Styela clava: one gene and its partners. The protein of the gene in region 1 interacts with the protein of each later gene in a biochemical or structural test. Links are inferred from orthologs where the notes say so. Each region holds a gene or a part of one and is shown in the gene's direction. Other genes may lie near its edges. The genes, in order: tight junction protein ZO-1-like, junctional adhesion molecule C-like and kin of IRRE-like protein 1.

The links.
Region 2: the proteins of tight junction protein ZO-1-like (region 1) and junctional adhesion molecule C-like form a complex in vitro, tested with the Homo sapiens proteins (2 studies listed by BioGRID and IntAct, with this or other methods). The link is inferred for Styela clava from reciprocal best matches to the Homo sapiens genes TJP1 and JAM3.
Region 3: the proteins of tight junction protein ZO-1-like (region 1) and kin of IRRE-like protein 1 form a complex in vitro, tested with the Homo sapiens proteins (3 studies listed by BioGRID and IntAct, with this or other methods). The link is inferred for Styela clava from reciprocal best matches to the Homo sapiens genes TJP1 and KIRREL1.

The regions. Positions count from the first base shown.
Region 1 is NC_135250.1:11,488,954-11,499,998, reverse strand, and holds the start of tight junction protein ZO-1-like, read left to right. Parts: upstream 1-6,460; 5' UTR 6,461-6,491; coding exon 6,492-6,664; intron 6,665-7,934; coding exon 7,935-8,037; intron 8,038-8,639; coding exon 8,640-8,866; intron 8,867-9,336; coding exon 9,337-9,411; intron 9,412-11,045. UniProt on the Homo sapiens protein: TJP1, TJP2, and TJP3 are closely related scaffolding proteins that link tight junction (TJ) transmembrane proteins such as claudins, junctional adhesion molecules, and occludin to the actin cytoskeleton.
Region 2 is NC_135253.1:22,953,568-22,964,034, reverse strand, and holds the start of junctional adhesion molecule C-like, read left to right. Parts: upstream 1-5,525; 5' UTR 5,526-5,651; coding exon 5,652-5,697; intron 5,698-8,539; coding exon 8,540-8,666; intron 8,667-9,734; coding exon 9,735-9,880; intron 9,881-10,427; coding exon 10,428-10,467. UniProt on the Homo sapiens protein: Junctional adhesion protein that mediates heterotypic cell-cell interactions with its cognate receptor JAM2 to regulate different cellular processes. Plays a role in homing and mobilization of hematopoietic stem and progenitor cells within the bone marrow.
Region 3 is NC_135253.1:5,790,523-5,801,359, forward strand, and holds the start of kin of IRRE-like protein 1, read left to right. Parts: upstream 1-6,098; 5' UTR 6,099-6,205; intron 6,206-10,837. UniProt on the Homo sapiens protein: Required for proper function of the glomerular filtration barrier. It is involved in the maintenance of a stable podocyte architecture with interdigitating foot processes connected by specialized cell-cell junctions, known as the slit diaphragm.

The DNA.
Region 1 (11,045 bases):
TCCTGCCTTTTCTAAAACATGGATGTTTTTCTCGCATCTATTTAGTGAATGTGTACTTTCGTTTAAGAATTGGCCATTTGAAATAATATCTTTTTTTATTAACAATAAATACAACCCAACTAAAAATGCATACAAATGCAAAAACAAAGTAATTTACCACCAGACTAACTGAACCAAAAAGCTTCAGGGACTAGCACTTTCGATACCGAATTCCTGACTTGCTTCTTATTCAAATAGAAAAATACTTTGTGGTATAAAACTTCTGTATTCAGCTAACTCAACAAGGAACTAGCTGCTATCAAATACACTTGCAGCTGCTCAACGAAACGGGTAAAACAGTCAGCAAATAATAATCAGAAAGTTCTAAGTCAGGGGTCGGCAACCTCTTGTTGCTCGCGGTTGCAAGTCATTGGCGGGCCGCACATATTTTTATAATGTTAAAAATCGAATGAATGACCGATGAATTTATCACACAGATCAGAAGTTAAATTTTGAGCAGCGCGTGAAGACTGACTATTCGAATATTTTTTGCGCCATCAAACCATTTGCACTTAGCATCACCTTTTCTGCGTTTTGTTGTCATTTGTCTAAATTATAATTAAATTATAGCCTCATTAAACGAGTAATTGTGAATTATATACTTGTTACGTTATAATATAATTTGGTCTACATGTAAATTCTTTTGCGTAAAGAATATAATCGACAAAACAGCTATAATTTGTTACTATAATTGAGTGAAGCGTCGCGGGCCGGATTATATTGCTCCGCGGGCCGGATCCGGCCCGCGGGCCGTAGGTTGCCGATCCCTGTTCTAAGTGGTGAACATCATTGATAGGGAACGCTCTGTTACATCATAATTCCACACAACCTCGTAGTATTAGCAGTGTGCACAGTACGATTGCAGATGCAATAAAATTCCGGACATTTGAGTCTTTTTTTAAATTCTTTCGGGACGCAATATTTAACCCTAAATTCCGGACATGTCCGGAATTTTCCGGGCGGTATGGCAACCCTAGAATATATAAATTAATTTAATTATTGCTCATATGCTAATGAAACATCTGCGTGCACGAACAATAAAGTATATTTTGGCGGGACACAAATAATTTCATAAAAGGCATTCCAAATAACTTAATATGTAACGCGCATATGTAGGCTATAAATAAAATTATTGAACGTGAAGAAAATCATGCACTTTTTTTGGTTAGAAGTATCTAGAGAAAGCTAGTATACAGCTGAGACTGAATCCATCGATAGTCGATAGCAATGTTTCCGATACTTAAGAAGGAGGGTGTGGGAAATAAATGAGGAAGGAAAAAAGGAAAGAAATCGGCATCTACTCACCAGTTGTAAAGACAGACAAACTCTGTGGGCCACGCAACAGGGTTTCAGAGGGGCGGGATTAATTACTGTTTCTGCAATGCATGAAGCACGACGCATCAATTGTGGAGTCGTGTAAACGAGACTGAAGTTTTTTGACAAACAGTCAAGATGCACCTTCTGCTTCCATGTAGGCTGGACAGTAAGCAGAGCTTTATATAAAGATCAAAATATACCACCAAGCAGCGCCAGACCACAAACAAATTCCGACATAGCCTACGTGGCGTCGATTGTGCAGTATTATCGTTGTGTCCAGTCCCGAACCAAAACACGGCCCCATTTGCCCGACAATATACCCAAATCCCAAAAACAGCTACAGCAAAAAATAGTCATCACCAAAGCGTCATCCTCTAGCCTAGAGGCTAGACTGCCCCGTCCTCACACCCCACCCCTTCAAAGCTTTTCAACTAACTCGATTACAGCCTTGCTCGTACCCCCAACCAATCTAACTTCATAAAACGAATGCGCTCTCCTATCACATAATAATCTCATTTGTTCTCGCGTATTGTGTGATGTGATAGTGAACTTTACTCCAGCGTCTCACGAATGGCTATAATATAGGCAAAGAAGTCTGAAGAAGAGTTTTTATCATATGCTCTCGGGATATCAGCCGTCACTTAACAAAAAATATCAAAATCACGAATGAGCATATGCATTATTTATGCTACTTTATTATCCGGTTAACCGTCACAATAATAATAATAGCAAAATACTTCTCGGTTGTTCTTGTTTTAGTCAGAAATGTTTTCAAAACCCATCTGCTCTCTTGTTTAAGTCCGAAACGTTCCTCTTGTCTAAGTCAGGAATGTTTTCAAAACCTGACCCTCCTGTTTTAGTCAGAAATGTTTTCAAAATCCACCTGCTCTCTTGTTTAATTAAAGTTTTCAATACCCATCTGCTAAAACTTATTAATAGGTATACTTATTATAAGTATTAACATTTTTGGAACGTAATTTGTAAAATTGCCAAACATATACATTGAGTCCATGAAATTTTTCAAACACTTTCAGATTATGACTAACCTATGAATAAAATTCTTGGTATGTTACTTTTTTTTCAATACTGTGTATCACTGAGTGGCATTTAATTATTTTTCACATTCAGACACATTCTTATCACATTATAATTTTGTCCTTGATCCACTGTGTATATATAGCCAATTTTAATCGCCCAAACTGACCCATTGAATTTAGTAATTTTTACATACATTTCCAACTCATTATTCTGACCGCTTTAGATTGTTTTATTTAACAACACGGGACACCCCCCCCCCCCTCTCTTTTTTCTTACATTAAAAACACACATGCATAACATTGCATTTATCAAAAAAATCCCTAATTCTGTTAAGAAATTAATTGTAAAAATTTTATCGTAATAGTTCAAGTTTTGTTATTGTTCATCTTTCAGTGTTAATCTTAATCACATCAGCGTATATGGTGGGAGCGGACCTCGATGACCGTACGGTCGTATCGCTTCCTCCTGTCCATACCAAAACAATTTTATTTGCTGTTGCTATATTATTGATGACTGTATTTTTTGGTTGAGGAAATAATAAAATCTCTCTCTCTCTCATTATCCGGATAATCCAACCCTACCGAGCACACATAAAACTGGCAGTAAACCAGGAAAGAATCTTTATCACGCCATATACCCGGGATGTCAGTGAGCTCGGCATCTTAAGCCGCAGCCCCGGTACGATATCGATAACCATCCAGGTTTAACACTTGCACAATATGTCACTCGACATATATGAATTTAATGATTGGTAGTGAAATGCAGTTTCTTTTTCCAATCCTAGTGGCAATAAAATGCGAAAATATTCATGTCGAGCCAAATTTAGAAAAGCAGAAGTAAATTGCGCCTCTTTTTTAATAGATTCTAATAGCATGTCCAAGACATTTTTGCTAACAAGGTTATATCCTACTGCACTTTTCGCTCTGAACATCAACGATATGCCGATTCGGTATGCCTATGTCAGTTTCAAGCAACTGGTCATAATTGGGGTCACGGTTTGCTATGTGATGGCCATCTTAGCTCTTTATAACACTTGAACTAAAATATTCACCTCATTTCCGGATAAAAATCGAACGTATCTCAAATAGTTGCTGATATTCACAAACCACCAATTTCTTGTTTTCTTTCTACATCAACCAATCAGCAAGAAGTTAACGGTGGAGAAACGTCCTGTCGCTAGGTCGCGATCGGCTGTCGTAAACCTTTCTCCGTTTTCTTGTGGAAATTATAAACCGACCCAAGCGTGAAATTCCGAGATGCGTCACGCCCAGCATAGTAAATTTCTGGTGATCTTGTGCCTTGGTGTCATTTTGTCGGTGGCGAAATCCACAGGTTTTTATTTTTACATATGTTATATAAAACAGTATATATATATATATATACATCCCAGGAGCGATATTTAGTTATAAAGGTTGGACAACAGTTATATCCTTTATGACGTCATGTGGGAGAATGTGAGGTTGCAGCAGTCGGGCAGCGCCACACAACAGCAGGAAGACGCGGATTTACAGACTGAGGGAGACGGGAGACTAGTCAAATTTATTTACATATTTACTCATCTATTGCAGGATTGTAATAAAGTGCTTCTAGATTTGTAGATGATATTGTTGATACCGGTACCGGTACTTCTTTCTGTACTGCCTTAACAATGTAGTCTACCGGTAATCACAGACTTAACATGTCTATTCTTGGTTTTGTTTTTCGAAATTTCAAACAGATCCGTACTGCCGTAGGTCAATAGATTGAAACTGCAAAACTGACTAAGACTGTAAAATATATTTTAGGATTCCTGACGTTATCCAAATTAACCTGCTAATATGTGCGCCTAGACTTTATCGTTTGATGTCTGATGACAGGGTGAGGAGAGTGTCAGATTGTGGTTATCATTTATTGGCTGGATTGGGGTTAGCAAGTTCTGAAGTTAGATTTAGAAATAAGAAAAATCTTCTTCACTTACCGACTACTGGCTGTTCTTCTGTCTGTCTGTTAAACTATGCTTCGGCGCGGCGGTGTGGCTCAAGGGGCTAAGCGTTAAGGAATACGCTCGCCACCGCACCTCTAATTCAGTAATTACTCTGCGTGGGTTCGCAGGTTCGAATCCTATGCAGGGATGGTTATGTGCGAGAGGATTGCTGGGGTCTAGTATAGTTTAGTACCACAAGTACTTCCGGTGGGCGTACCATAACGAATTTTGCATATGCTATTCCTAACCCCCACCTGACTATGCCATCCAAAAATTACGTCACTACGACGTCATCATCACGTCATAGGGATTGCCAAAGTATAATTACGATCGCCCAAAATGTCATCTGCGCCGCCGATAACGAACTTGCTAAAGCCGACAATCTCTCTCCTATCGTGATCGTTGTGATGAGAAAACGAGAGAAATTGCTTGCTCGATTTCGGGTGATCGTCTGCGCGTTTTGGACGACCATCCGCATACTTCGGTGGGCCTTATGACGTCACTGTGACGACGAAATGACGTAATTTTTCGTTGACGTAGTCAGGTGGGGGTTAGGATTGACATATTCAAAAATTGTTGAGCCAGGTCAACTAGAAGTACATGTGGTACTAAACTATCCCAGACCCGATTGCTGGACTCCTCGCCGTCGTTGGGTGGTTCACGTAACCGCTGGTCGGTTACGGCTTCCTCCACCAACAAGTCCATGCTTCCGAAAACAAACAATATAACTAATCCCATACCCGACTTGGAATGGTAACCGGACGAGAGGCCGTGGTTCGCCATGTGGATAAGCTGTCTTATCGGTTTTCCTCTCCCCCGGGATAAATATGTATATCCTATCCTTCTTCATCATCTAAATGACCTCTTTCTACAGTTCTACTACCAGACTCCCTATTTTGCTATTTCTGTATTTGGCCCTTTCAGTACTGCATACCTACAACCAGACAATGTTTGCATGCAAATTCCTGAATTCTGAAATTACATTTTATCCGTACAGCCGTAGCTTACTATAATTCTGGCTTTATTACTTCCCCTACGAGCTCAAGGATAGTGTATTATTTCCTGTATTTGGGTTACAGGGTTAATGAATAAATATGTCATCTTGTATTTTAGTACTGTAGTACCACAAGTAATTTTAGTGGGCTTGTCATGACTATTTTTGCATATGGTATTCCTAACCCACCACCTGACCACGCCATCCAAAAATTCTGTCACTACGAAGTCACAATCACGTCATATAGCTTGCCAAAGCATAGCTATGATCGCCCAAAATGGTTTCTGGGCGGGCGATAACGAACTCACTAACGCCAGCAAGCTTCCTCATATCGTGATTGTTACGACAAGTAAATGGCTTGCTCGACTTCCGTTAATCGTCTGAGTGTTTTGGACCAACATCCATAAATTTTGGTGGCTTTATTATGTCACTGTGATGTCGTAGTGAAGTAATTTTTGAATGATGTGGTCAGGTGGGAGTTAGGAATGACATTTGGAAAAATTGTTGCGCCACACACACTACAAGGTATCGTGGTACAAAACTACACAAAACCCCAGATTCCGGCGTGCAATCAGTGACCACGACATGCCAAAATTTGAGCCTGCTCACAAACCTACCGAAACTGCTTAAAAACCTGATTTTAAGCTTGCAACTAACAGAAAATTGAACAAACAAGTGTAAAATTATCTGAACGGAACATCCCAACTAGTGCTTTGACGCAGAGTCCTGTCTACCAAACGACCGCGGCGATGCATTTGCGTAGGTCAAAGGTCAATTAATCGGAACAGACAGAACATGATAAACAATTTCATGCAGGAAACAAAAAGCCTCACGTTTCGAAGGAGGCCCCTTTAGTTGTTAATCGCATAATAGTCATGGGTATTGGCGTGTTCGTGAAGCCAAAAGGTCTGTTCATAATGTTAGAACTCGTCAGCCATCATTGGTGGTTTTGTTTCATTCCACCACCCTTCAAACTATAACTCACTCAGAAATCTAGGAGATTGATTTCTGGGCAAAGTTAAGGCGACCACTAAAATGCCATTTGGTTCAGTCTCTTTATGTGCATTATATTTTTCATTATCTATCTTTTAAACTATAAATATCTTTACATACAAATAGTTTTTATACAAATAGTTTAAAATGAGCGAAGAGGTTATATTCCAAGAACACACATATGAGATAGCAAAACAATCGGATGTAGGATTTGGAATTGCCATCAGTGGTGGGCGTGATAATCCAGCAGTAACAACTGGTGATCCAGCAATCATTATTTCTGATGTTGTGAAACATGGACCTGCCTTCAATAGACTACAGTAAGTTATTTCTTGACTTGTATTTATACCCTGGTGTGGTTAAATTGTGAAATCTTGAATTTAGAAGGTTGAAATGAATATAAATAGACTGTTATGACAAGTTGCCGATATAGAATATTTTCTAAAATTGGACACACTCTATTTAAATCCGTTTTAAAGTGGAGAAATCACGAGTCAGAGTTTCAAGATACAGCAAACTTGTTATGATATATTCATCTTCGTGTGTTTTTAATAGAGTTTTCGAATACACGCACACATACATATATATATATATATGCTATATTTAAGGTTCAGGGTTAATAATACCGTTTTATAGATTTTCACAAATGCAACCTATAGTACAATCTGTATCTATAGTGGCCAAGTGTTTAATCATACATTAGATTTACTATAAGGTCATCACAGGTTAAAATCCTGGGTTTTAATTCCATGACCACCACCCTACCCAGGGTGTAATAAATTCGGTATGCAGTGTCGGACAGAAAGCCTGCCTGCTTCTGCAGAGCCTTGTTCAGAGCGGAAGGCATATCTAATGTACGAAAAAATCCAATCCGATGAAATAGTGCATGATTTTTTTAACAAGAGATGCATTTACCAAATGTTGTGTTATTCATCTGTAGTGTTATCTTAAGTTATGTTAGTATAATATTTGATGTTTATTTATGATTAAGGCATAAAATTGTTCTACTGTATTAGTCTCATATCTTGTATATCTTACACTTTAGTTTATCAATGTAAAATTACTCAGCTTAACTATGAGTATTTTTAATATCTTACATCGTTTTGATCTTTGATGGATATGAATCAATTAACATTGACTCTTCACCACTTAGTTAATTGCATTTTCTTTTAAGCTATGATGGTACAGATGATTGTACTTGACCTATGTTAAAAACCCTTCACCTTGATCAATAAGTATTTACCGCTTTGTATATTAAAATAATTTATCATAGTTCAAAAGAAGTTGTCAATAATTATACACAACAATTCCCTGTGTACCAATCATGAAATGTATATTGAAGTTGAATAAATGTTCAGTGGGTGAAGATCATATTTTTCGCTCTTACTTTATTTCATTAATCTCTGTTGGCTTTATGGGATTCGATTTTTGTGTGTGATGATGTCATCAAAATTAGAATTTTTGCAGGTTTATTGTGACAGATTGCATACTTCATTTTAGCCTCCATGTTCATATATTCAAGCATCGCCCTTTTGTAGATTTGTGAGAAAATTAAATATTTTTTTTCCAAATTATTCTTTTATTGTACAGGATTAATGACACAGTGACACGAGTAAATGATCAAATTTGTTATGGATGGGCACACCAGCAAGCTGTCAGAGAATTGAAAAATTCTGGAAAAAAAGTCAAAATTGTAAATATAGCTATTTGATTTTGAAACACTGGTATTTGTTTTATAAATACGATTTCTTTATGCGGAATCACAGAATTTCCGCTTGATAGAACAACTTTCACTGCAATGTTATAGCACAACGATGCACAATAATTACACATAAAACTAATTATACGTCTGGCAGTCAATGCCCCGCAGGCAAAACAGGGGTATTTAGTTACATCATTTTTGTTATAGTTCGACTGAAGTTAAATTTATAATATGACAACAAATCTTTGGAATATATAAATATGTGTATATGAATATACTTTCCAATAGTGAATATTGTTATACAAACTGACAAAAGGGTATTATTTTTCATTTTTTTTGAATGTTTTGCTAATATTTTGTAACCGAATTTATATATGACAAATTTATTTTTATAATTCTTGGCTGTTCTTCGCAGTCTAGTGTAATTATATAGGATTCAAACTTCAATGGCATAGTAATGGTCATAGATATGTGAACATAATTTAGTGGAACAAAATCAGAATTTACTGAAATATTTATGAAATTTTTTTTACATCATATACAACATTTTTAAACAAAAAATTCATTCATCAATACAACCAAAACTTTTCCAGACCGTCAAAAGGAAAGCTATTGTGCGTGTTGAGTCTCGCGACACACCATCACCTGGTCCTTTACATCGTAGCAGAAGCAGAAATCTGGACAATATATCATATGGACGCCACAGATCGAGAAGTCGAGATAGATCACCTCGACGACGTCATCGATCACATAGCCGTGATTTAGACAGTTCATCACGAAATAGAAGGAGATCAAGGGGGAGAGGTACAAGTCGAAGCAGGTAAGCATCTCAGGTTCATATCTCATTCCCCCACCCCATCCAGGGTGTAATAAATTAGTAGACAATGCTGAACCAAAGAGTCCAGTCCTTCCAAATAAATGACTTCTTACCGTACATAGCGTGAGATATTAGTGGCCGCTTATATAGGGCGGTACTAAACACTAAATGATAACTTAGGCATTTATATTGACATTACATTTTTTTTCGTAGTTAGTAATATCGTTTTATAAATTGACATGTGTATGTGTTAAGTTTAATCAGTGTGAAGATTTCCTATTTATAACATGGAATGGCAAATTCACTCATGCTGAAAATTATGCTACACATTTGGCAAATATTGTCTGTATAATTAGGATCTGTAATTGACAGGTAAAATAAGCCATGGTTTAATATTGATTACAAAATGCGTCATTGATCAAATCAATGTTATTTGATTCCTATTTTGTAAATTTGTGACCTTTATTTTTAAGGAGCCGTGGAAGAAGTTACAGTCGTTCACGTTCAAGATCAAGCCGTCACAGTAGGAACTACAGATCGCCTTCCAGGTACAAAGTTACGATTTTAAAAAGAGAAAAACAAAATGTTATAAGCAGTTTTGGTGGTCAAGTTTGGCATTGTAAAACAACCCTTTTGTCTTATAAATGTTGGTTATGCATTTTGATTAGGCTATGCTGTAATTGTAGACATTGAAAAAGGTTCTAACAATGGATAAGAATAGATGATATGATATGTTACTAGTATGCTTTTCACCCAGCTTCTTACCCAGTGAACCTTTTTAAGATTTAGCACCAGTTTGTAGTTCCTGTATGACTGCTTCTCCAAAGCTTCCTTGGTGGAATTTGCAATCTAAGATATATAAGTGTTGAAATAGTGAATTTTAGATGAAAAATTATTATTGCTATTGATCATTTTTCGCAAAAAAAATGTGCCATTAGGAGTAAAAAATATTACGATTTATCTATTATTTTTCAAATCCAGTAATAAGTTATATTTAACTCATGTAAGGCTCATGGGTCGAAATGTTCTTGATTTTTCTTCAACTGTTGACTCGCCGATTTTATTTAGTAAATTGGGGCCATTATTAATAAATAAAGAAATATTCTAACAAGTTTTCTGCACAGCAACTCTTGTTTGGGGAGAGCCCATTTTAGATTCATATAGACAAGGACATTGAGTAATAGACACTAATTAGATTTAGAATCTGGTGCATTTTGTTGGTAAACATTGAATATAAAGTACCTAAATGTCTAATAGAATTTGTAAACATTATATTCAAACGTTTTTAATCTAATAAACCAAACATATCCACCTATCTTAGTCATAAAATTTATAAAATTTTGTCTTTTACTCGAATAACATCAGGCAATATAGGGCCAGATGTTATGTTAGGTAATCAATTTTGTTCATAATTTTTAATTTTATGCGCTTCTTTTAAAACCAGCTATTTGCTTGAATATCAGCTTGAATATTTGAATATAAATATTATTAGGATTTGTATGGTCATTCAGCGCTGAACAGCTCTCTCTTGCAGACAAGCATTTCACGCTTGACTGACTTTTACCACTTGATTACTTTTGACGGGCGATAGGCTCTCACCTATTTACGGTACATTGATCCACATGAGTAATTTTCTATGATTTTCAAATCTTGTGTCAACAATGGCGTCGATGCGATCACGTTATGTAGAACTATTTAAAGTCATTCAACTGCGTTGTATGTGTTTATGTAAGGATGGGCAAATAGTAAAATTTAATATTTTTTCAATCTCGATGTATATATATATATACATAATAACAAGAACGACGAATAACAATAAATTTTATATCATTTCATATTCAAAATACACATTCAAATACTCCTTTTATATTTTGAGATTTGAGAAATTCACTTTAAACCTAAACAGAACAATATCCACAATTTGTTGTATTGAGATTTCAAATTCTTTATACCAATGATGGAAGCTAAAATATTGACAATAATAGGAATCACATAGAATAGTTTTATTTGCAAATCTGTCATTTTGAGCAATTAAAATAAACAGCAGCAACGCTGAAAAGGTCCTATTTTAAAATTTGATTTCTGTGATCTGTAAAAATAAAAAATTAAAAAATAAAGTCTATGTATATCTATTTTTCTTGTATTTCCCTATTCAAAATCTATGTATCATTTAATATTAAGC
Region 2 (10,467 bases), on another chromosome or scaffold:
CGTCTTCAAAATTATGTGGTGCTACCTGTCCATATATTTGAACATAGCTCTCTTGTTTAGTTTGTATCGAGAATCTTCTGGATATATCTGGTCGCCTCAACGTACTTAGACGTGGACGTTTTTGATAAATTTTGTTTCATATATTTTTTCATTGTTGTATTAATTACTGTTCGGCTTATTTAACCACGGGTGTCGCTACTCGAAATTAACCCGTATTGGTTTTTCCGTTCCGTTTATTTTACAAAGTGTATATTCTGTATGGTGTGAAAATAAACTTAACTTCTGATTCTCTGCTCTCTCGTGCGTAGGCGATTTGTGATTATAATAATATTTATAATTTAATGTTACGAAATAATCAAACCCATGTATTCATTTGTATAAAGCAGAACAACGTTTATAAGCGCGTTTTCTCATGTCGTCCAAATATGGAAATATATACGAAAGAGACGTTTCTCCATACTGACAAACAAAGCAGACGACGATTACGTCAACATCGCGCTTTTTTCGTACGGGATTTTTGAATGTCTTGTACTTCTCGCCATAACGCGCGTCGGGCGAGTTCTCGATCCGTAACGTTGTCGTGGGCGTTACTTTTTAGGCTTCGTGTGTAGATTTGGGCTTTGGGTCATTATCTGTCATACGTGAGGCATATTAAGTAGTTAAATTTACCCCAGAGTGAGTTTTAGATCATTTGTTCACCAGAATTCGGGATTAATCGCTGCCATGTCGGTTTCTCAAAAATGTAGAATGCATGCCAGATTTTTGTTTGTTTCGTTAGCTGAATAGTTACATTCCTCGACTGTAGATAGGTGCTATCATTTGTGCGAATAATGTGCATCGCGTAATTTAAAAAAAAAATACGGCATTTTATCGAAAATAATACACCTAATTTAACACAATCAGACAGTGTACATACGTGATACAGTGACAGGGAAATCTTAGGGGTACAGCAACCTGGCTACTTATTGTTCTGTTAGTATTATACATATAACAGTAGTCGGAATTCAAAAATATATATGAAAAAATCGAATTTGGTTCGCAATACACGTCATATTTACTATTATAGTCTACGGGCCACAATACCGATACCGGTATAGTTCTTTGAAACGTTTCGTTGCTTCGCCGTTTTCAAATCTTTTGTTTACACCGCGCTGTTAGCAATGGCGACCGCGGAATGTCTTGTGAACTTTTTTTTAAAACAATATTGATTAATTTTGTCTGCTCCAAGTGACATTATTGCCAAAGTTGTATTGATCTTCGAATTGTATGACTAAGTTAGTTAAACATCAGAATTGTTCGGCTACTTAGCGTTACCACGATTATATCTCACTGCTTGATTGGAAGTGAATTCCCAAAGGCGTCGCTGACAGGAATATCTTAATTAGATGTATACCGTAACTTAGTTTGGACTGCGATATTTTTTAGTAGGGGCTGGTTTATTATGGGCATGCCTGTTTTATTTTGTTGGCGTTAGTATTATAGTACTTTAGTATAACAGTATTATCAGCCTTCTGAATATCAGTGTACTGCTGTACTGGTACGGTACATTCATTCCATAACTCTGTCAATATCTGCATATGATAGTAAGACTGGCAGGCTGGGGAAATGTAAGAACAGCTGGCTGTATGTGGTCACTGTGCAGCAGTGTTCCCCTATTCAGCTATTGCAGTATTGTAGTATCAGCAATTAGTATATTTATTTGGGTACTGTAGCCACTGACAGACTGAACTATGAAACTTGAAATATTTCTAGCTCAATAACAAATGAAATGGCGGTGTGGCGCATCGTGCTAAGCTTTAGGAATACGCTTGCCACCGCATCTCTGATTACCTTGCGTGGGTTCGAATCCCATGCGGGGATGATTGTGTGCGAGAGGATTGCTGGCGCCGCCGTAGGGTGGTTCATGTAACCGCTGGTCGGTTACGGCTTCCTCCACCATCAAGTACATGCTCCCGAAAACAAAATAACTGGCTAATATATTCAATACCCGACCTGGACTGGTACGGTAACCGGGCGAGAGGCCGTGGTTCGCAATATTATTAAGTCGTCTTATCGACTTTCCTCTCCCCCGGGATAAATATGTAAATACTATCTTCTATATATCTAAATGGCAAGTACCGTAGCACATCACTGCATTACTGAAAAAGATATAAGAAAAAGAAAAATTTTATTGTCTGTATCAGTATTTAAACCATTTTATCTTCGATTGTAAAAAGAATTCACTTGAAAAACTACAATTTTCTAAATTGTAAAAGTTATCATTAAATTGCCTAACTTCAGTCCATATCTTGGCTAAAAATCACCGTATATATGACCAATTTCAATTATTATAGCTAGCGCTGTTATGTCAGTATGTGTAGCCTACATATATTCTCAACTTTTTTAATGTTGCTTCATTAGTTTTTTGCTGAAAAAATGGAAATTTTGCTGAAAAATGACTGTTTGCTACAGAGCAGTGAGAAAAATGACTGTAGGAAGTTAAAGCAAAGAAAGACAATGGTCAGATATCCAGAAAAATAGATCATTCTAATAGAATTCAATAAAAATGTTCCAATAGACCAGAAACTTGCAGGAAATGTTAACTTGGCACCACATGCAGACATGAATGTTTTAATGAGCATTTTTTGCGCCATTTGGACAATAAATGATATGTTGTCTTTGACTCTGTTTATCTTTTTAGTTGGTTATGTGTTTCATTTCCCCACTGCGGTTTTTCTTAGGGGAAAGTGAAGAAATAATTTAACATAACCCAAAATATTGGCAAGGTAAAAATGAGATGATACCAAGTACAGAAATAAAACATTCTCGGAAAGCTAATCAGGCGGACTTGATTTCAATTTTAACTACATTTTGGATTAGGCGAGTTTGTGCACGGCAGCAGGGTTTAGTTTCATGTCAACATACCTGACATAAAAATCACAAATACTGAAATAAATAAAATTTTAAAACATGCTTCAATCATGTTATGACTTTTATTTTATTAACTTTCAGTTCAAACAAAATGGAAAATTTTCCTTTTGGGCAAGTTTTAAATTCCATTTCAACCAAACATATCGCAGCATAAATAATAGCCTATAAATAGAACAAGCAAATGTGTAGTATTGCTGAATGCGTATGAGTCATATCATAATATTGCAATATAAAAGCACGTGGTTTCATTGAACATATGAATTGCATCATACAGGATATATTAAAGATGTTGTGATTGTTTTATCACTAATCAGCTGTTTAGGATAGGTTTTGATACATCATTTGGCGGAGGAAACCTGACAAGATGTTAATTTCGGAAATTCTCGCTATTCTTATGTTAGTAATGAGATTATCTAGGACAAAATTTACTTCAAATTCAAGCAAAGTAAAAACGATTAGATGGCAATTGCTGATGTTACTACTAATGTTAGGGTTGTGATGAGCAATTTGTGATTAAAATTTTATTCATATACATCTTGGGGAGAGGAAAATCGAGAAATTGCTATTGACAGTTTGTTAGGTAGGTCAGTACAGCGCACTATGCAAATTCCAAGAATTTCCCTCCATTTGGCTCAATAAAACAAACACTCTATATGTCTCACAAACGAGGGGCGTCCGGGACCACGTCAGATGCTTCATATCGCGCCATGCTTGTCTCAATAATAATCTAAATTAATCGCGGCCATCACATGACCAAACTTGCTGTTTTTTGCTAAAAACTCTCGAAAGCTACAGTACAATTTTTTTTCCTTTGGTAAATAGGATTGTCTGATCATCTGTAAAATGGGTTTCTCTGAAACGGGACAATGTCACCCGATTGGTATAGTGTGCCGTACTGTAGGTAGTAGTAGCTGGTTTTAGGTAAAATTGAAGAAATTCATGGCAGCATGTGGAGATGAAAGGCAATGAGATCTAAATTGATTGAGTTATTGCTATTAGGGTACTTCGGATTGGTTTTAAGATAGAATGTATTATCTCGGTCAAGAGGAAACGCTATAAGATGTTCTAGCTACTGAGACATCATTGCTTTGATAAGTTTATGTAATGATGCATGATTTTCATAGTCGTATCGGCGAGGAGGAAAACTGAAATATAAGCTCAATAGTGCTGTGGATCTGCAGGTTTATGTGTTTGGAAAATGCTGTTAAAAGTTGCGACTTCAACGCTAAAATTCCTATTTAATTGTAGTGTAGTATGAAATGAAGTTTTTGGTTTATTGTCACCTCAAAGTTGCGGGTCTCACCGTTGTAGTGACATAATTTTTGGATGACGCAGTCAGGTGGTTAGGATTGAAATATGCAAAATTTTGTTATGCTGCACCCACTAAAAGTACTCGAAACTACACTAGACTGAAAGTTGCTTTGGCTGTTTGTGTGCTATGATTGGACAAAATAACTATGTGAACTGCTAATGTAGACTCGGTAGTTAGTTACTGTAATTGAAGTTCGGTAGTCCCGTAAATTAATGTGTGTACCAGGTTAGGGCTAGGACAAAATTTTATTCTGATTTTTCTTATTTGAGTTTTATTACGAGTTTGGAACTGTCTGTGTTAGCCAAGTGAGTATAACCCCTGTTCATAGGAGTGGGAGTGGTGACTCATCTAAGGCCCATGGGCTGGGGCCACGGCCCATCGAATTGGGCCTCGGCCCATCAGGCTATGGGCCGCGGCCCATCAAGTTGTGTAAAGGGATTATTCACTTGGCTATCACAGACACTCCCCGAACTCGTAATAGAACTATAATGTGAAAAATCTGAACAAAATTTTGTCCTAACCCTAACCTGGTACACATACTGCAGGGGTATCCTTTTTGGTAGTTTGGTATTATGCTTTATTTTTATCTAAATGCTTATCGTAAGAAAAAAAATTTGGTAGCATCCCACGATTTTTTTTGGTTCGAATATTTACAATTTTGTAAAAAATTGAAAATTTTGGTAAGATAATTGAATTTTTCCTGATGGGGCCACGGCCCATGTGGCCCAATTAGATGGGCCGTGGCTCCGGCCCATGGGTCATAGAGGAGTCACCACCCCTGTAGGTTCATAGGTTTCAGTCCCTTAAAGTAGGCAAACAAAATTAGTTACCTCTCTATTGGTACACACATTTCTGGGGCGCCGAAGTTTCTACTGAGATGAAAATGTGACTTTCTAAAGAGTTGTTGAACTAAGGTCTTCAAGGTTTTAATATCAGTTGATTTTCAAACTCACTAAAACAAACATTTGCTCAGGGTGAAAGTTGTGTAAAGGGACTGAAACTTATGGGCGGGGGGGATTATTTACTTAGCTAACACAGCCAGTCCCTGACTCGTAAGAGAACTAAAATAATGAAAATCGGAATAAAATTATGGCCTAACCCTAACCTGGTACACATACTACGGGAGAACTAGTTTTCTTAGAGGGAACACCACTGAAAATATTATAAGGCATTAAGTTGTTATATTATTATATTATAAGTTATTGAATGATTAATTCTTATGCCCAATCTAATGTACCCCTCGAAAAAGCAAAACCCTATAAAGCCTATAACTTGACGAGTCTAATTTTTATTTCAACAGAGTTTATCAGCTTTTACGCTCAATTAAGTGCGACTTCTAAGACAGATTATTAGGAATGCAACTTGGATTTATTCTGTGTGGGAACTGTTTTGGATTTATTAATCTGTGTGGATTTATTCAAAGACAATAATGGGATTACTACTTAGGATAATTTCAACGGCTTTACTAATACAAGGTACGGTTCTAGTTAATGATTATTAAAATTTTAATACATTCTAAATCAGATAAATTTAGTCATAATCATAGTCAAGTTTATTTTTTCCATCCAGTAAAAAAAGTTAACATGCAAAATTAAGACGAATAAATAATATTGAATACACATTATACTGAGGAAGGGAAGCCGCGGGGAACCCAAGCTGGTCATCAAGCAGCGACACCCAATGTTCTAATATCTAGGACAGGGGTGGGCAACCTTTTCCGGCTCGCGTGCCAAAATCGACCAAATTCAATGACAAAATTCTTACGAGTGCCGACCCAAATTGTCGAGAGCTCACTCAGTTGTGACGTCATAATATATTTCTTTGAAGCCATATGTCATGAATGGACAAAAAGAATTTGAATAAATAACGGATTGTTAACAAACAAAAGTGATTAAACGGACGCAGAGTTTCAACAGATAATTCAGAGTCTTAAAACTTTTTATCTGAAAAAAATGTTTTTGTTTCTGAAAGCTCGCTCGCGTGCCGAATAAATGGGCTCGCGTGCCAAGTTCAGCACGCGTGCCAGGGGTTGGCCACCCCTATTCTAGGATATTCTTTAGTTTACGCTCATCTTGTGTATTTGCATTAAAGATTAAACACAGTGATACCTAGATCATGGGGTGCGGAAATTTAGGACCTTCCAGCACTTTTTTCGTGCGGCCGTGAATGCTGCAACACATTTTTCCCCTTCTGCTTTTACATTAATTTCAGCGCTTAAATTCAATTGTTCTTCCTATACTCGCGTCATCTTCTAATCTTTCAATGTTATTCAATAACGGGGGCCCATACCAAGGGGGCACACAGAGCTGTTGGAGAGGGGCCCCATGCTAGGCGCAACTGATTGTGCTATTTCATTTACACATAAATTCTCCCTGTTCTTCCTAGCTTTATTGCTTGATAAGGTTACTTCACAACACCCTGTTCAACATGAATTGTTTGAACATAATGGGATTTAGAATCAGACAATCAAAAGTAATACTATCAATACCATCACAGGGGGCCCATGGGTCCTAAAATCCCCTGGGATGGGGCTACAAGTCAATAAAGGGGTGGAACTACTGCCCTAAACCCTAATATAAATAGTTACCATATATATTTAAAATATCTAATCACATAAATTTATTATTATCAGTTGTTTAGAAGGCTTGCATCACTGAATTTGGCTGGGCTGATTCTTTCTATGTTTTCCATTCAGTCAGTATATTTGTATCCACTGGCATAAAGGTATAAGGAAACGGTCTATTTCGACATGGATGACTAAACATATTTTGGTATTCCCGAACTATGTAACCAAGATGGCGGACGACGAAACGTAGTATGTGTACCAGGTTAGGCTTACGCCATAATTTCAGTTACAAATACTACAGGAGCCACTTGGCTAGTCTCTGAACTCGTAATAGCACTAAAATAAGGAAAATTAGAATAAAATTATGGCCTAACCCCCTCCTGGTACACATACTACGTTTCGAGTCCGCCATCATGGTTCACATACTTCAGGAGTACCCATATTTGGGTGTTTGAATTGACTCAGAATTTCTTTGAATGGTGTAATTATATAAAATAATGCAAGCTGATATACCGTATTTTCTCGACTATACGCCTATCACACGGATAAGCCGACTCCCTAATAATAGCTTCAAAATAGTGAATTTATAAAAATTCGCATATACGCCGTTTCCACAAATCGTAACACGGCGCACGCATCTATTACAGTCAATGGTGTTCAATTCAAATTTAATATTCAAATATCGTGATTCGCTACCTTCTTGTATATGGCACACACATTCTAACAGCGAATATGGTTCTACCGAAAACGCCATGCTTTTCAGACTGACAAGAGACATGTTCACCTGGTCGGATAGCAAGACCTGTTTGCCAGTTGGGAGACAAATTTACGAACCCGAGTTGCCAAAGTACGACTGAGATTGCCATGACGACCTAATTAGTTGCAATTTCGATCCCTTTTCTGCGGAACATTCTAAAGAAACTCGCGGAACAGCAGTGTTCCGCTGAACACAGTTTGAGAAAACGTTAATCTAGGCCAGGGGTTCCCAAACTAGGGGTCGCAACCCCAAATTGGGTCGGAGTGATAAGTAGGTAGGGTCGCAAACAGTTCGTGGGGTCGCTGAGGTATGGTAGAGGATGGATGTACAAATCATCTAAGATTTGACAAACCATGTTAAATTTAGCAGTTTGTACCATGGCTTACTGTAAAACAGGCCCATAGGCATCGCTCTATGCTTAAGCTATAGAAAATGTACGTGCTTATTATGACATCACTGTTCGGTTTTAGCTTATTTTACTTCATACCACCACATGACCAAACTCAAAAGTCCAGGGAAAGAAGCTGTGAAGTTTCATGAAAAAAATATATATATTGACCTGGGGTCGCACTGGACACTTGAAAGTTGTCTTTGGGGTCGTCCTGAAAAAAGCTTGGGAACCCCAGTTCTAGACTAATGGTTCTCAAACTTTTCTAAGCCATCTTTTTAGAATTTGTCAAGTCTCGCGCCCCACCTCCAAAATAACTAGCTAACAATAAGCTACAAATAACAGATAGATAGTAAGGCGAAAGTTCGTTTTATTAGAAAAACACATGGAAATACGTGAATGGAATCACAATATCTAAACAGTAAGGAAATGTAGATATCCAATAAAAGGCGGCAAGATCAAATCTAACAAGTATTTTTATTTTTGATTAGCTTCACGCCCCCCAAAAATTGTCTACGCGAGCCCCACTGTATGAAAACCACTAATCTGGTCTAATTATTTTTGTATTTTTCTCTTGGTGAAAAATATTTATCAAATTGTATTTAGCTACTTTTGGAGTCAGAGTGAGTTTGGAAAATGGACAAACAGGAACTGCAATTAAAACGGAAGTACGTGGCCAATCAGTTTTATTGAAATGTAGTGCAACTGCTTCTGTGCAGAGTGGGGAACCAAGGTGAGCATTATTTACAATAGGATGGGAGTTACATAAATATCCAGGAGAGAGAAAAAACGATAAGACGACTATATCATATGGCGAACCACGGCCTCTTGTTCGGTTACCATTCCATGTCGGGTATGGGATTACTATTAGTTTTCGGGAGCATGAACTTGATGGTGGAGGAGTGGTTACGTGAACCACATTACGACGGCGAGGAGTCCAGCAAATCCTCTCGTACATGACATCCCTTATATTAAACAAATTTAAAATTGTTTTGTCGCGAGAGAAAAATCTATGCTTGTTACAGCTTATGAAATAGTTGTTCTAGTATTTGACTATTTCAGTTTCAGTTTCAGTTTGAAAAATAAAGTAGTCTAGCAAATTCAGTAATTGAATTTTGTCACTTTTTCTAATGCTGAGTAATCGTTGAATTCAAACCTCTAAAATCAAAAATTCGATACATTGAATATAATTTCTTCTCGCTGTTCTGTGCATTTCTGGAACTTAATGTAATCTTCTAGAAGAATAGTTAATTTCTATCATGCACGGAATTCCTTTTGAAATCATAAACTAAAAGCAGAACTTTGAATGTTTCAACTTTTATAACCGGTAAAAAAGCCTAATAGAAAACTAATTGTTGAGTTTGCTTAGGCTTTTCGACTGCGTTCAAATTTTCTCATTCCTTCGTAATAAAGTTTATATTGTTTACAAAATCTTTGGTACTCCCAAGTCCCAGAGTACGATTGTTTACCAGGTTGGGGTTAGGCCATTTTTTATTATTTATTCTGATTTTCCTTTTTTTAGTTCTTTCACGAGAAGGGGACTGTCCGTGTTAGCCAAGTGAATATATCCCCTGCCTATGGGTTTCAGTCCCTTTACACAACTTGTTGTAAAGTAGGCGAACAAAATTAGTTACCTCCATACTGGTACACACACTTCTGGAGCCCCGAATCTGTAGTGTTTTTATTGATCGCATTTATCAACAGCACTAATAATTTCCACAATTTATATTTGGCTACACATTCTACAAAGGTTTTCACTTATGCTACCCATTTAACCCCTATTTATTGTTTGATTTTTCAGTCTCGAATGGTTGTATTCTACGGTTCCTAACTCCGCTGGAACGCATATATATTACCAAAATAAGATTGTTGATGGACTCGCAGACAGATTCACACTGGAGAACCCATATTCTATCGTCATTAAAGATCTTGTTTCGGCAGATACAGGTAATGTGTTTGAAAATCTTCTTCAATATTATACTAAGAATAAGCTTTCGTTTCTAAATAACATCTTCAGAATAAACAAGATACATGGTGTCCATGAAGTTTTGAAATTTTTTGAAATTGCTGAGGTAGTTTATTGATACCATGTATTGTTTTGGCCCTCACAGATGTATTGAGTGAAGTAAAAATACTTGAACAATTACTGATTAATAAACAACAAACTTGGTTAAGATGTATTGAGTACTGACTTCATAAAAAAATTGAAATTGTAAAGGGACTTTATGGACACCCTGTATAACTTGATCAATCGATGAATCTCTTTTCTCGATAATATAATCGCCCATATTCTATCATCATTAAAGATCTTGTTTCGAAAGAATATTTGATAAGGTAATTTTAAGATAAGTTTCAGATTCCAAATATTGTGATTTATATTTTAAATTTTTTTTTATTTTAATGCGTATATTCGCAGAAAAAGCCAGTGCAAAACCCTAAATGGCAATCCTGATTTGCATGGCCAAACACGTAATTTTAAACTTGATTTCCACAGGCTTCTACACATGCCGAGTGGTTATCCCAGGAGACAACCC
Region 3 (10,837 bases), on another chromosome or scaffold:
CCGAAGCCTATTGATTTTGGATGAATTATGTCGTATAATTAGCGAGTTATTAAATAATTAGTATTGGGACACAAGGTGTCACTATGGAGTAAGAGCGCTGTTTTGGGGGATCTCCTAACTTTCGATCGATAAGTCTTCGGTCTCTGACCGATATTCTCGTTATATCTGTTATTTGATGTCGTGTGGTATTGTTTCCATGTTTGGTATTGGGGACACTGGGGGTCTGTCGGTCGGTCTGTCTTCGGGGTGTGTCTGTTAGCGTGATGGGGTTGGTACCGGTACAGTGTGGTTTGTTTTCGGTTAGATCCTGGTCACGAGTGTTTGTGGGAGTGCCTCTGGTCTCCGGAGGGGATTTGTTGGATGTTTTTATGCTAGAGCTAGACAGTAGGCTGATAATATTGTTTCAGTACATTGCCATTGCAGTTATTTTAGCGTTGCATTTTTGGTTGTTGTCAGGGAATTAGCTATTATCAGTACTGTTCAAAGTGTTTTTATTGTGTATATTCTGTTTTCTTGCATTGTGCTGCCTGGTACTTGTCGCTTTATTGTATGGTTGTATTCTGAACTTGGATAATTATTTCATAGACTGCCGGTACGCTACAATCTCACGAAATGCTCGACGAGGTTCTCCATGCTGCTCATCAAGTCCTTTCATGTATATTATTACTATCTAGTGGAATATTTATCGAAATCTTCAAGGTAGCAAGCTTCCTCTTTTTAAAACGAGTATCATTTCAGATATTGGAAACTATTGGCCTATTAGTCTTTTACCGTCGTTTTAGTACATAACTTAAAGACATTTGAAGGCGAACAACATGCTATGAACCTTTCCCCGACCTTTGACCCTCGAAAAATTCCTCCTATACTCTACCATCGCAAAATTTTCGGGGCTATTTTAAGAGTGCTTTTGCAAATTGGCGCCAGTAAAATGGGGTATGTGTTTCAAACCATCATCATGATTCATCACATACAACAATCTGTTTTTTAAAAGTACCGGTGAAGAATTTTAGCCTAATATATGCTAGCTAATTCTACACTAATTTTTCATTACTGCAAATAAATTAAAACTACCAAGAAGTCAGAGTGATCATTGAATTATCTGATTTATATTTAAGTTTCCGAACAACTGAAAACTAACGAATGGAGTTCAAAAACTTGAAAATTTGTCTGAGTGAGAAAAGTGTCTGATTGGTTGCGAAAGGGAGCATTGTTACGTCACTTTTTGCACCTTGCTGATTGGCCAATGTCACAAAGTAAACAAGGAAGTCGATGCTCGGGGAAAAGTCCATTGGAATATTTCGAAGGCATTTGACACCATTGGCCACTCTATCTTTTTAAGTAAGCTCGGTCACTATGGAATTGTGGGTGTCCCATTTAATTGGATCAGGAGCTACCTACAAGAAAGAAAATGAGTTGTGCAATATGACAATTCATTCTCTAATAATATTTGCGTCATGAAGCACGGAGTTCTTCAAGGATCTTTACTTGGCCCATTATTCTTTCTAGCATACATAAATGACATGCCTAGGTGGGTATCTAGACTGCTCTGAGTCGATTATGTTTGCTGAAGACACTGATTCGATTATGTACGGGGAAAAAACTATTCATAATAGGAAACATAGACTTGACCAACGTTCATAAGTGAATGTTGGTTAATAATAAATTATCTCTTAATGCCCATAAGACCAAATTAGTATTATTTCATCCAAGCAGACATGCAAATGCGAGTTGCTCAAAACCTTTGCTGCTCAATGGCAAAGAAATTGAAAGAGTGAGTAAAATAAAATTCTTAGGAGTTGTCTTTGATGAAAATCTCTCTTGGAAATCACAAGTTGCGCAAGTTATTATTAAAACAAAAACAAACTTGGCAGTCGCTGCCAAAGTATACCAGGGTGTCAATCAATCAGCTCCATTGTCGCGGACCATAACTTCCGCGTTTATATTTTGTATATATCGTATATATATTTCATGTTTATAGACTGTGGAGAGTGGAAAAACTGTGTCTTCTGATCTCTTCCTCCGGCCGACGGGCTGGAGCCTGGAGGTCGGCTGCGTTTTGTTGTGTAACTGGCCAACTATTTCTATACCCGACATGAACTAGGAACCGGACCAGAGGACATGGCTTGCCACATGACTAAGTCGTTCTATTGACTTTCCTCTCCCTACATGAAAATCCTATCCAGTTGCTGCCATATATACCTGTGTGATAATCATAATAGATAGAGTACATGCGCAAATAAGTAAATGATAGTGACACTACCGGCACCCAAGATTTGTTTTCGCTGTTTTAGATTTGGCTTCGAAGTGAGAGTCGTGTTTTGAATCCCCGTGGCTCGGGAGTCGAATTCAATTTATTAGCTGGTCTGGCCCGAGGAAACTGTTTCCAGTAGAGATGCATCGGCAATAGCGGCCATTATTCTGTATTTGTATCGGTCTCGGATAAATGTAGACCGATATTTTCCATATATTAAGATTTATCATCTAATTCTAATCTATATTGTATTAACAGATAAGTTAGTATACGGATGTCGATTTTTTTTCATGGAGGGATCATGTTCGTGGTATTTGACTATAGTTGATGAGCCATGCTCGTCCCCACCCCCGCGAGTAGAAGCGAGAACAAGATTTTTTGAACAGGTTGATTTTTCAATGTGTAAAATACGACGTTATATTGGCACAAAATCCTGCGCACGTAACTTGAGGTATCAATTTGATTGGATGAGTAAACGTTTATTCATTTTACCATCCATAGTAGCCAAACCCTATGAGTTTTCTAATTGAAAACCGAGATTACTAGCTTCGGTACACAATGCATCTGGATCACAAACATCAATTTCTTATTATCTGGATTAGCCTATCTCTTTTCAAGCCTAAATGATGTGTACTATGAATACTGCTCAGACTCACCTCCACACCTAAGATAATAATTACATGGTATCGGCCAAGGCTGCCCAACCCGCGGCCCGCCGAACTGTTTTTTGCAGCCCGCCCTATAAAGTTTGTAAGCAGACTTTTTATGTTTTTACTATGTTATATATCAATATATAGGGTTAGGTACGTTTCTGATTTTGGTGTGATTATTCCTGCCATCTGTCTACATTCAAATGCCGGTTCTTATTATTACGTATGTGTCAAGTCTCGCACCCTGGTGGACATCGACGTCAGTTTTTTTTTTCTCGCAGAACTGAACGTTCTGTTCGACGAATTCGAAAGATATTGTGCGATCACTGAGGACGAACGCTGAGCGCAATTATAGGAATGAATTTGGAGCCTAAATTTGCGAATTAGTTTCATTATGATTGTTTTCTTACGTGTATGCTTTGATCGTCTTTATCGCCAGCGTAAAATAAAATGTCAACAATATCTTTGGTACTGGTCCTGGGACTCGTTGTCTTTTTATGTTTGTATTTTTTTTTATCAAATGTTTGGGTTAAATACGATTTCGGAAATATCGTCACTGCGTATCCGTCAATAATTCTGATAAAATTGACTTAACGGCATTACCGCATATTGGTCACAAATCAGTATATATAGGCTGTTCGCCCAGAAATCTTTGTAATGTTACTTCAATATTTGTATTGGTGTTTCAAATTTTACGAAACGGCCCACCTAAACTTGATATTCCCGCAACAGTGGCGCACATTATGCTCATTTAAACATTGTTCACGCCCCGTGTTACCAGATATTCGAATTGTGAACTGCTATTCTAATATTCGACGAGATATTCGAGTTATTTGCCAGCCCTACTCAGTGACCAGAAAACAGTAATTAAATTGATTGATTTGATGTTAATAAACTTGCCTTTTATTTATTATGTAAATTACCCACACCGAAATCAGGACTTAGCTGGTAGAGTATTAATGTTTGGTACAAACGTTTGCGGCCCGCAACGAATTTCGTCACTTGAAAGTGGCCCGCGAGACGAAAAAGGTTGGGCAGGCCTGGTATCGGCCTACGACCATACCACTTGAATGCACCCGATCTCGTTTGATATCGAGAGTTAAGCAAGGTCGGACTCGGTCAGAACTTGCATAGGTATCGGCGTTTTTTCGTTGGTATCGGATCAATATCGGCAACAAGGTGCTATCGTAAGTATCGTTGCATCTCTACTTTTAAGTAGACTCCAAGTGTGACTTACACTCGCCACCTCGCGGTGAACCATGTTAATTATCGTAGTTACGAAATATGCGACAGTGAACCATTGTGCAAGCACCAACGCACTAAAACAACCTTGAATTAGGCAAAAGAAATAGGTAAGTATAGTATTAATTACGGAATATAGGAGGGTCAATTCTTTTTTCCATGAAAAGAATCCATGTATATATCGCTGCAGTAAAACCAAAGTAGCTTACGGTATGTCACGTTTTTCAGAAATAGATTTTTTTTACATATCTGTTGTTATGGATCAAGGACCATCGTTTAGTCTGATTTTCAAAGCTGTACCTGTTTTAGTTAGGCCTTATGTGATTTTTAGATTTTTCCAACCAAACTACTAGGAAAATATGATTTCTCAAAACCTTGAAATAAAACATAAGCTAATAGCTGTTCCGAATCGCCGACTTAGTTTACCTCCAACTAGTTTGACAGTTAATGTTAGGCTATGTTCGAATGAAGTAAAATTTTCTACTTAGAACGCACAATTACTATTAAAGTTGGCATGTCTTGCTGTAATTTACTCTGATCTATAAGAAATGAATTACGACTTGAACATATCCTTCAAATTCAATTATGGGTGACTCCGAAAGCAACTTTTGTACGCCACGAAATGTCGGGTCGAGGTTAAAGTCAAGCAAGTACGACCACATCAGCTTAGCTGTGGTTTCGAGGAACATACATTGATCATGAATTAATGAGCAATGACGAACTTGGTACAGAGGCATGGCAGTTTCATTTGATTTATCTGATTAGGCCTACGTCCGGCCGCTTATACTGAGGCATTTATTGACTAGAAGAGATATTTTCCCCGAGAAAAAAGTTGATGAATTTTTCGAATTCCATAAAATATATTAATTAACAGTTTTTTCTTGCAGTCACAATTCAACTAAATTAATTTGGTCGAATTTTTTGTCTAGAAAATTAAATCTAATTTCATTAGTATATATATAGGAGTATAAAACAAATGATACGGATCGAAAGAACCTCTTGAAGTGTGTGTTTGTCGTTTGTTTAGTGCTTTCATATTTGTCATTTAGTACTGATTAGCACAAACGTTTTAACAAGCCCGAACGTTAAAAGTTCTCAACATTGAATCACGTTACCATAAACTTTAGATCGCGACATGCCACCACCGATGGCTTCTACTAAATACGTCGTGCGCGGTCTCGTGACTCCTGGATCATTCCTATTCGTAGATGTTTCGTCTCAAGGGACATGGAAACGGCTGATTTGGATCTTGTACAGTCATGGAATGTTTATTGTCGATTTATTACCATTGAATGAGTTCAATGTACCAGGCCGAAACTTTCGAGATAGAAAAAGATGCAATAATGGCGCCATAGTAGATGTGATTATTTTCGTATTAAATATTACATTACTGGCATGGAATATCCTGTTCCTCAAAAAGATTTATTAATAAATATCAATTTTTTTCGACAAGCTTTTCAGTTTGAATGGAATAAATCAAGTGTAATATTCATTCGATGTGTGTAGAAATTCAGTTAGTGTTGCATTCAAGTGTATTATTAGTATGACTTTTATTTTAGATTTTTACCTATTGATTTATGGGTTAAGTTAGGCCTTTGAAACAATGGTAAATATAGATTCGTTTTGATTTTAAGGTTCGGTACTGAGACGACATTAGCATAGTTGTAGCTATTTTATAAAAGTTCACTCTACACCAAACTTAAAATTTGGTATTAAGAGTACAATGAAAATATTTAATAAAAATCATTTTATTTTATGCTTTTTCTAAATTAGGCGTATTCGAAAGTCCATAAGTGGAGCAGCGCAAAGCAAAACTAAATTTAATTTGGTATTGCGGTAGTAATTTGTGAGTTGTCTGACAAAATAATCCTCGAAACAGCTATAAAAAATTTTTTCTAAAAACTGAACAAAATTTATATATTATCTGCATTTTTATTTTATATTACCTGAAACATAGTTACTCTCCGGTTAAAATAAAAGGTATGAGAAGGGGTTCGAAAGTTTTGTTGCTTCAAGAGGACAGATGTAACAACTGAGGGAAAATGAATGTATTCGAAAACAGGTAAGTTTATTTTTCTGTTTAATACAAAACTGGACAATTCAAAATACGCATAGAAAAGAAAATAGCAAATTCAACCAGTTTTCATTCACGCTGTGGACGTTTGAAACATAATATACACTTGATAGTCGGTATCGATACTCATCTTCTATATTATCTTGTCTAAAATCAACACCTGATTTATATTTGGCAACCTAACTAGCCGTTTTGTTAGAAACGATTGAGGCCATATAATCATCTTATTTATATATAACTAATAGTTTACTATATTTATCTCAAAATAAACCTCAGCCATATGACTTCTACCTGTTTGTATACGATCAACATGGTTAACATTCAACAATACATAATAATTCAAAATTGGTCAAATTTGAAACATTCATTTTTAATTTGCTTCAAGAAAACATTGATATACAGTGACATAACAAGAATGAGATGATATTTTGAACAAGAGGAAACCAAGGCAAATATGACTGATTGTGGATAATGGAAAGTCCATGCGTCGGTTGCGCGGCGTTGACAAAATTAAGTGCTCTGCACAAAAAAACTGCTCACTTTTTTTTAAAACTTCTCCTATTACTAATTCCGCGTGACCAAAATGAGTTACATTGAGTCCGACACGAATGACATTTCCTGCTGTTGCCACTTATTTGTCAAACGACCATCATTTGTACTACAAATTGGATATTTACCGTACCTAATGTCCATTTTTTATTGAAATGCTCCCAGGCAACTTTATTCGATCACTGCAGAATGTCATTAAAAGCATAATTGGTTGAATGGTTTCATTAATATTATTCATATAAAAAAGCTTTTGTTCATTTTCGCCATTGCCCTTGTTCGTAAGAGGAGCCCCACGTTGACCCATCACTGATCCCTATTAACTTGCGTTTCCCAGTGTCGACATGGGTCATCGATTAGGTTTGGTTGAAGTATTCTCATTAGTAAATTTTTTCACTTTAGCGAGCCATCGTTTTCAAAAACAGGAAAATATTTATAAAGAAAGCCTTTAACTAGTTAACTGGTGCAACGATGGAAGATGTCATGTATACATCACTGCCTCAGTGATTGCTTCGATTCTTCTATGGCCCAGGGGTGGGCAAGGTTTTTGAACCAGGGGCCAAAAGTCCTGCCCACCTAGACTGGCGGGCCACGTAAGTGTGACGCAAAAAGTTACATTTTCTGAACAATATTTACAGTGTTACAAAATCAAAAGTGGAAAATAATAAACCTCGTGCCAAAACTAAATTTAATCGTAATCTTAACAAATTCTTGAAGCTATTTTTCAGCGAAAACATCAAAATTTGGTTTTAGTTTGGTTGTGGCATCATTAGGTGGGCCAGATTCAATTACCCAACGGGTCGTATTTGGCCCACGGGCAGTAGTTTGCCATGCCAGTACTATTCCAACTTCAAAGGAGAGTAACAACTAAATATGAATGGTCGAAACTGTGCTTTCTTTTTAGAAAACTTATCTGGTTGAAGGTATTTCATATCATTTAGCATTAACAATTCTGTAGATGCTCTTTTGGATAAAATTTATTAGTGAGAGTTGATTTTATTTGACAGAAAAAAAGTCTAATCGAACTTTTTACAATGTCAATAGTTCATGTATATATTTTCAGGTCAACTTCAAACCCGCGCGACGGGGCGTATAAAATGCGGATTTTATTTTATCCCTTTTAAGTTTGTAATATAATGTTTAGAATAGCCATCTGAAGGTTGACCGATGTCTATTATGGTATTATTCAGTCAGTTTGTCGAAGCATAATGAATGACATATGATGTATACAGTATTAATATGTATTATGTGAAAAAAATCACGGATCCCTAGATAATATATGTTTTCGCTGTATCAATGTAGGGCTGACACTTTTTCTATTATAATTGTTTTTATAAACTCCGTTATACATGTCTGCACATCACCCGTAACTCAATTAAAATTTCACTCTTGACTATTAGATCAATGAATATACTGCAGTATTTCACTTTTCGATTATCATTGAGAGTAGAAACTTGAAATTAATAAATTCATTATGATCGGTGATAATTTGGTATTCTGATTTTTATTCTTTATTATACGTTTCGTGAATTCATCTAGGTAAATTGAATCTTGTATTAATTATCGTATGTATACTTAACGCTACGGTCTGCCAATTTGGAAGAAAAATCTGAAAGCTCGTCATATATACAACTTTATGACAATTCCATTGCATCTATAAATCTCTTTCCGGTTCAAAATATATGCAGTATGACTGGTGTTTCTGATTAATTGTGGAAATATAATTTAACCACTAAAAATTACTCTGTTCGCATACCCGAAACAGAGGGGTTTTATAAGATGAATCCAGAATTCTATTTGACTTGCATCTCTTCCTAACAAACGCTGTTAACTGCTTTTATTCATTTGGGAATAATGCATGAACTGCTCGTTCCGATCGTGCTTCATCAATTTCAAGTCAAGTTTTTATTTTCTATTCAAGTGCATGAATTATCTTCATTTGTGGTTGGATTAGTAGTCACTTAAATTTTCATTGGCCAATCTACTGAAAACGTTGCTTTGTTTTCACTTGGTAACAGCCTAGTCCACGATCATCGTCCAAGATTACATATTTCTTTCTTAGTTGCCATGAATAAATGATGAAGTTCTTGTAAGGCTCTTGGGAGAGTAGTTGAACACAGGCAAGTCACGTGATCCATTAATGAATTAATTATTTTGTTGAAGTTTTTAATGCAAGATTAAGGATAAACCCAATAAGTCAATTTTATAAATGGATATGTCCTTTAATTCCTGTGTTTTGACAGAAATATCCAATGACGCAATGACAAGATTAAAAAACAAAAGTGGCGTTTAGTGTTTATAATTCAACTTGTGTAATCACATAAATGAAAACTAGGAATGTCCGTTACCACCCTGTCATTAGAATTGGTGCATTTCTGGCATAAATACAAAATGTGAAATTATCGTATAAGCGGTATTTTTTTGATTCGTTATTTTCTCCATAAAAGTATAAGGTCGTTATAGTTATACCCAAAAAACCTATTTTGATTTTTTGACGAAGAAAGAAAAAAGTTAATCAAGAAACTGTCTACACCAAAGTATTGAAAAAAAGTTTGTTAAAAGCGAGTAGACATTAACTCTCCCTCTCCACTATGTCTGATTAATAATTCCGCCAAAGAAGTTTTATAAACTGAAATATTTACTGTGATTTTATTTCAAACGTTTGCGCTTCAATTTATTGGCATGCGGTCATGATTGAAGGAAAATAACAACAAAAATTTGACGTGTTCGATCAACCGCTAATTAAAAAAAATTGAAATTTGTATTCGGCCATACACAAAAATGTACAAAAAAAATAGAAAAATTTATGTTTCATACCTGGTGGTCAATAAACACAAAAATCACAATGTTATTTATAATGACGTCATGGTATTTTTATGTCGTTTCAGATGAGATTATACATATGAATTAGAGTAGAAAAAATATATATATCATTTTTTGTTTAAGAAATTATGCAAATCACTATGACAACCTGGGGAATACGTGAATATTTGAACCTTAAAAACTGTTGGTCTTGTTCCGGTCGTTGGGTAGAATTCATTTTAATCGAAGAGCACTAGGTGGCGATATGACGGTATGAAATCAGTATATTAATTAAGTATGGAACAGGCGACAGAAGACGCGCCTTGAACGAGGTCACCACACATTTATTATCCGCAATAAATTGTTGTTTGGCAAAAATTCCCTTATATAACTCTGGTATACAGCAAATGACAAAAAAAAACATAAAAAATTTTTGTGCGCTTGTAATCAACACAGTTGCTTTGCTGGTAGTATGAAGTCAACGAAGCGAATTTAATGCTTCCAACGTGTTTGCACAACTACATTTGCTTGTTGGGAATTTGTATTAGAAATAGCATTAAAACATTTAAGAAGTCTGAAAGTTTCGAAAATAAAATATACAAATGAACATTTTCTGATGAAGAAATTTATCACTTCTGCTGGTTGCTTTCTTGGTGATTTGTTTTAAATATCCGCCATGCTCAATATATTTATACCAAGATGTTTCAACCGGTATCTACTGAAATCTCCGTGTTTCAAATGTGACCACATGCAGCTTTCAGATCGCTTGTATATGCATATGACTTCCGTATGCGAATATAGTATCATCCTTTTGAAATGTGAAATCGCGAACTCAATTTTAAGCAAATGTACATAATAAATCAGGGCATAGAAAATGTATGAATTTCTTACTTTACAAGACAGAACCAAATAATATTCGTTGCAGGTTGAATTTTAATAAGGAAACGAATTGAAATTCATTTCCGTTGTTAAAATATCCAGTATTCATATATTAATAATGATGAATTTATCAACGAACCACCTTAAATTCCAAAATTTATATTAAAACTGATAATAGCCTCCCGTTTGGACAAATACCATACGCCGCCTTCACAAATACAGGTACCAGCTGCTGACAACATGAGTATTAATAAATTTATGGCGAGTACAATGATACTGAACATGGTGAAAGGACCACTTCAGAGGTTCATAAGTATGCATACTATTAAATATGGTTGATATGATGCTGCGAGGACTCTTCTCGCCTCACCGACGCTATATTTTCCATTGTTC